Linked DNA regions of Drosophila melanogaster. The protein of the gene in region 1 interacts with the protein of each later gene in a pairwise test. Each region holds a gene or a part of one and is shown on either strand. Other genes may lie near its edges. The genes, in order: CG15296 and CG14424.

Region 1 (3,094 bases):
AACATATTTTCATTTTCATGGTCAAAGTGTCAGTTGAATGGGTGGTTTTTTTTTTTTTTTTTTTTTTTTGGGTGGCTAAACCAGACCAAGGGAATGGACAAATGAATGAAAAATTGTAAATGCGAGTTAGGACCCGTGCAAAATATGCAAATGAAAGCTGCTGTCTCCCGTATTCATTTCCTTTACTCGTCTTATTTTTTGTTTTATCTTTTGCTGGCATACCCAAAAGTTGAGCCCGCAAATCTTGATTTAATTTCCGGCTATTAAGCTGGAAGGGAAAATTCTGGGCTGGCGCATAGTTGTGGGCACAAAAAGGGAAAGTAGTGAAGCAGCTCATTAGGATCACAAAAGGAGTCACGTATTCGGTATGGTTTGTTCCTTTTTTTTTTCTAGGATGCTTGTAATGAATTGGGCACATAAGACTAGTGAAACCTATTCATATTTTAGTTAAAACTACATCTAAATTTACCAACTAATGTTTGAAATAAGATAATCCTTATCTAGCATAATCCTTATCTTCAGTGCAATAATGGCGCAAGGAAATTCATGTTTTCAGAGGCTTTAATCCATTCAGCCGCAATTCCACGCCTTGCACCTCGGCCACGCAGGACCCATTTATTCCCGGGCTTTATGACTCTGCCAATGAATGGATACACAGGCACAGGATGTGTCCTGGCCAAGGACCCTTTTGACCCCACCTTTGCCGGCCACTCTATTATTTATTTATAGAAAGTTGGCAGACTCACGCCAAAGGGGCTAAGAATTTGGTCCTTTGCTGCTTGGCCGCCTTCATTCTGTGACAAATGAATTTGGGTCAGAAGTTGTGCAAATTAAAAAAAAAAAAAAAAAAAAAAAACCGAAGAGAGAAGAGAAGAGAAGCTTGGTCATTTGGCGGGTGTCAAAGTTCCTTCAAACAGGACCGGAAGATTCGTCTCGCCTTTGACTCGCCTGAGCGACATTCAACTGGTTTTCAAGTGCTGAACCGAATTGCAGTTTTATTTCCATTCACGTAGCTCCACACACGGAATGTGCTCCTTTCCCAAAATAACAAAGAAGTAAAGAATGGTTGTCGGCGGCTGTAGCGACTAACTAACTACCCATTGACGTACTACCACAATTAAACGCTTTCTTTGTGTCTACTTTGTGTCTTTTACAAACAAATAACAAACACAATTCTGTAATTAGCTAATGAGCAGTTATATTATTTTGATTGTACACTACACGTATACAATATCCCAATATGCTCCACAAAAAAAGAGGGGTGCAAAGGGCACGTTAAAAAAAGGGGACACCAAAAATGTTACAAAAGATTTACACCATCCAAAACCTCAACGCCATCTCCGCATCCGCAATCGACGCCTCCTTCTTTCTGCTTGTGGGCAATACCATTACTTTTTCAGTTTGCTGGTTTGAGTAATGGATTAGATTTTTACTCACTTGTTTTGGGTTTCCGTGCTACCGCTATTGGTTGGATAGTGTATTCGTTTTTTATAGCACGCCGCCCACACCCCCCAAAAAAAAAAAGGATAACACCGCCGTTGATGAAGGGATGCTAGTGGGAAACTAAAAAGAACCCACAACTCTTGTCTCACCTAAAAACTTTAGTTCATGGTTTTGAAAAAAAAGAAAAAAAAAAAGGCGAAAGATTCTTAAAGTTGGCCTTTTCTTTTCATGTAAAATTCTTTTGTCCTCGTAGTAGGCCCATAATTTTAAATCGATTAGACTTATTCGAAAAGTCCTAAGGTACACACGTGTTTGTTGTGAGTACGAAATCCAAATCGATATCTTGGTAGTTTAATAATTAACAAACGTAATTTTGAATAGTTCTGCGATAATGTTTACTACACTGATGTATCGAACTGCAGCGGTCTCGATGACCGTCTACATAACCAATCGAGTTGGAGTTTGGGGTAAGACAGAGGAGACGGACCACCTGCTCGATCAGATCACCAATGGTCTTCAACCAGTATTTGGACTTCTGCGACGAACGCTGAAGTTAGATGAGAGCGATCTGAGCGTGGGTGAGCTATCCCGGAAATACTACAATGAAGGAGTGAAGGGCACTTTTCGTATCATTCGAAACATACCCAACTATTCGGAGGAATTGGCCGACGGTGCCAAGGTCACCTGTCTGGATTTGGTGGAAAAGGCCAAGGAATTGCGTCACAAAGAATATTCAAAATGGTGGAATACTTCCACAAATAAGGAGCAACTGATTATTGATTCACCAGATTCTGCAGCTGGCGATGGATCTTTCGAGGATTTAGTCCCATTTGAGAAACCAAAGACCGTAGATAATTTTGCGGGGGAAGAGGGAAATGGAGCTCTTGAACAGAGGGTTTAAACAACTGTCTATAAACAAGAAAAATCAGCCTTACTCTCTACAAAATCTTATTGTTAAATCTTTGAGTAAAGACCATGTATCATGTTAGAATCCCCAATACTCTGCAATAGGCCAATAAATATTTTAGATTGCCAAAGAATTCGCCTTTCGAATCATTACTCTAACCAAACAATTTGTTGAAAAATTATTAATCCAATTGGAATTAGCTGTAGAGCAGCAATAATCGTACTTATCAAAATTTTCCTCATTTTTTTCCTCAACTGTTTCTTCGCCCAGACACTCGGTAAACAGTGAGAATTGTCAACAGTCTATTAAAATGCCAGTCGAGCCGCATTGCCAACCGAAGTCAAGCCGTGCGAAAAAGGATTTTCCAACCCCATTCCCGGGAAAAGGAAAAGCTGAAGCCAAGCGAGCCAAACCAAATCAATCCAACCCTTTTTCCCATTTCCTTTATCCAGTTGTTTTGCGTGTTGCTTAACATGCGTTTTAATGTGACCCTTGCGGGTGCATAAAAAATTTAGTTTTTTTTTCACCTATGAAAATCCATTTTCTCTGGAATTTTCTTTATGGTTTGGATACCTGTTACTTGTAGCATTATATTGGTTTTTTTTTTGGTTACATCTACAATTAATATAAGAGACAAAATATCAAATTTAAAGTATCTTTATGCATCCACATTATCCGGCATTTTTATTGAATATTTTTGAAATAAAAACTAAACGCCCTTTTTCACCAACTTCGATTGGTTTT
Region 2 (3,804 bases), 7.6 Mb from region 1:
CAGTAACTTTCCAAAATATGTTGACCCCGCAAATGATTGGGTGAGATGTGCTGACCCCGCCATGGGGGCAACTTTCTTTGCCATATACATAGCTAGAAACCACACACTTTGCTAATGAGTATTTACGATCTTTTTATGCATTTCCATTAGCATCAAATAACTTGGCTGGGATCTCTTTTGCTCGCCCAGCTCTTCGAGCTTATGAATACATTGCGTTCTTTTTCGCATAATTTGGTTATTAAAACATTTGTTTATGTCGCCCATAATGGGCGGCAAATATGTTTTCCTTTTTTTTTCCCCCAGTCCGCCCTTGTCATTAGAAAGAACTGCCAACGGTAGCTGTGGAAAATTTAAATAATTGCCGCGGCAATAACATAAATTAGATAAACCATCGGAGAGGCTGGCAAAAAAAACATGGAGTTCGAAAAAAATACAGCACATAAATTAATCATACCACCCGTGGTCAGTGGCCCAAATTCGGAATTGAGTAGGGCTGAGGAAATCGATTGGTCTCCAATTTCAGCCACTATTGAAGGCATTCAATTAACATTTAATATCGGGAATAGCTCGATGTACCCGCTCTGTGAAAATTATTGTTCTTTACAATTGTTTTGCAAGCCGAAAATAATGGTAATATTTGAAGGAAAATGCAAAAGCAATTGCAATTTATTTTAATTCAGATAGTTGTTTCTTACGATCTTGCATTATTTTGCAGGCGGACTGTGATTTAAATTTAAAGTTCTCTATAGCAAAACTCTTTTGGCCAATACATTTACACTTTTACAGCCAATTTTTAGGCGCATTTTAAATGCTATTTTCAAAATAGCTTTAATTTTGCATAGGTCCTAAACAAAAGGAAGATTATTGATTTAAATTAGCCAACAATAGAAGAACACAAAAAAGAGAGCAGACACTCATAAATTCCATAAAACCATAATCCGTCATGCCATTATTTCGCGCAGCTTATCACTAATAGTTCGATAGATTAGCCACTTAATCTCTGGCACTAAGTTGAGCCTGCTTTCAATGCAGAGAATGGCGGAGAAAAGAATAAATTTCGCACTATGGACTCGATCCACTTGATTGATTTAAATGCTCGTTCCTCGATCCGAATGGGGAACACATGCTGGCTGGCCAAAGAATATCTTTGTATATGGCTATATGGCAGACAGGCAGGCAAATGAATGTGGCCCAAATAAGCCTCGAACTCTGACATCTGCGGGGAAGAACAGTGAGACCTCGCCCACTTCGGACATTGACAAATGGAAACGGTTTGACTTATTGAAAATCTCACTTTTGACCTCAAAATTGGCTCAAGAATTCGCCAGACGGTTTTTGTATTTTTCCGTATTTCTCCAGGCGACCCAAAATGCAAATTTCTCGATTTTGGTAAAGAGTCAAATGCAACTGGAAATGGAAATGTAGCCACCAGAAGTCAACGTTCTGCGATCTCTGGGATGTTAGGAGTTTTTGGGTTCTCTGCTTTTTGGGTTTTCTATTACTGGTTTTTGTGCATAAATCAGTCGACGGACATTTGCATAGTTTAATAATTTGCCAATCGTCCAAGTCCCCACCAATTTCGCTACATTTTACTTTGTTCTGCTGCCTGGCCACCTAATTTCTTTTGTTTTTCGTGTGATTTTTATGTGTCTACGCTGTTTTGCCTGCTTTTCGCCGGCCAGGTGAATGTTCCTTCCCTGTATAAAATGTCTTTGCCGGGCACTTGATGGACCATTTAATAGAGGCCCTCGTCCAGCGACAGACCCAAGCCCAAGTCCAAGTCCAAGTCCACATCAAATCCAAGTTCACAAGAAGATCCCATATATACATCATTATGGCAATTAAGTTGGTAGCCCTTTTGACCATCGGACTGGCAATCTTTGCCGCGTGCGAAGGTGAGTTGGTTGGTGATTTAGGAGACGAAAAATAATCTTTGATGAATTATGTTCGCTTTTCCAATATCCATCAGTATCATACATTCTCTTCGAAATCATAATTAAGTGACGGTTATTAATTAATAAATTGCTTTCATAGTTTTTGAGAAACAAGCAATTTTCATAGTTCTTTGTTAATAATGACAGACTTTTGTTGAAGTGCATTGACTTTTTTTTAATATGTGTTCCTAATATACGATGATATTAAAAGCTAAACTAGTTCGTCAGGGCGAATTTAAACCATTTCTGCCAACCCTATTTCCTAACCCCATGTCTTTGTATCCCATTAGCCCGCCATGTGAGCGGACACCATCGCAGGCAGCATTTTGAGCAGCGTGCCCTCATAGCGAAGCCCCACAGTGGTCCCCAGGGACGAGTCTTCCCCGGTGCCGTGGCCATTAAGAAGCTGGTTCTGCTTAAGTTCAAGAAGATCGTGCCCATCTCTCTGATCCTGCTGAAGTCAAGCAACGAGAACGAGGCCGAGCTGGTGCCCGTCTATCCCACCGATCAGATTCCCGAGAACGTTCAGTTCATCCCGACACCCAATGGAATTTCCGGTCACAAGGATGTCCAGGCCATCGCCATTCCTGCCGAGCTGCACGACCAGCTGCAGATCAACGGTCTGTCCAACCTGGAGAACATCGAGGCTCTGCTGCAGAGCAGCTCGATCTCGGCTGCCGACAATGAAGGCGAGGCCCCCGTGGGCAACAGCATTGCCGTAGCCCAGCCCGAGGATGTGGTACTGGAGCAGCCAGAGAACGATGAGGATCAGCTGTTAGACGGAGCCGCTCCAGTCGCCGCTCCTGTAGCCGTCGCTCCCGCCGCCCTGCGCCGCCTATCCGCCGACGAGCTGCTCCGCTCCGGCGTGCGCAACTCTGCCCAGCAGCAGCAGACCAGCGTGGAGGAGATACCCCTGCTTCTGTACTCCGCCAACGAGGGCTCCTCCTCCGCCGGAAACTCGGGACGTCGCTTTGTGGCCGCCGCTCCGGCACAGCGCCGTCGCCAGCAGTTCTACAACTAGGATCCTTTAATTTAAACAAGCAACCTATCCAAACTTCCACATTCCTTCTCTCGATGGCTGTCACACGGGCTTCACTGTACTAGGTGTACTTACACTACCACTGGCTATTCTACATTTTTTTTTTAGACTGAACTGAATATAAATTAACGTTATGAGCGAAATGACAAAAGAAGGGACTTGTGCTTCCGGGTGGCGAAGGGTCTTCAGTGGGCCCTGGGGTAAAAAGGCCACACTTGGATAAATTGGGGGTCAAAGAAGAACCTTTAAAAAGAAAAAAGTTGTCTCAATGGTAAACCAACCAATTTATTACAACAAAAAGCACTGGTTTTAAAAGGTTCAATTAATCTAAGTTTTATGTTTATAAACATTTAAATATCCACCCCTTTTTCGAGTGTCGCCAAGTAGATGGGCAGATCCTTGTTTGGGGCGCTGCTTATCAGGCGACTGCAGTTATCAGGCCTTTGTGCTCGGGCTTTGTGCCGCTGACGTGACAAGTCCTGTCTGTGTCTCGTTTCGTACTCGGCCTCGTCCTCGACTTTATCCTCATCCCCATCCTCAGTTTCAGTCTCAGTCTCAGTTTCGGTTTCGGTGTCCCGATCCCAGTCCAAATCGCAGTCCCAAAGAGTCCTCGTGTGGCAGCCTGCCAGCAATTTTGAGCCAACAAACAAAGCGGCCACAAAACACATGGCACAAATTTTGCTTAGGCGCAAAAGTCAACGGCACACGAGGCGCAAAGAAAGGCAGCCGCACAACAAAAGCGCCACAAAGATGGGACACGTTAACCTGCCATTCTAATGTGAAACCACGAATAGAGAATGTCCTTAAACATATGCCAAAAATGAACTAAAT

Evidence for each region.
Region 2: the proteins of CG15296 (region 1) and CG14424 interact in a two-hybrid assay, tested with the Drosophila melanogaster proteins (one large-scale study listed by BioGRID).

The regions. Positions count from the first base shown.
Region 1 is NC_004354.4:10,565,229-10,568,322, reverse strand, and holds CG15296 (uncharacterized protein), read left to right. Parts: upstream 1-1,731; 5' UTR 1,732-1,764; intron 1,765-1,824; 5' UTR 1,825-1,834; coding exon 1,835-2,344; 3' UTR 2,345-2,481; downstream 2,482-3,094.
Region 2 is NC_004354.4:2,925,200-2,929,003, reverse strand, and holds CG14424 (uncharacterized protein), read left to right. Parts: upstream 1-1,745; 5' UTR 1,746-1,834; coding exon 1,835-1,895; intron 1,896-2,224; coding exon 2,225-2,955; 3' UTR 2,956-3,120; downstream 3,121-3,804.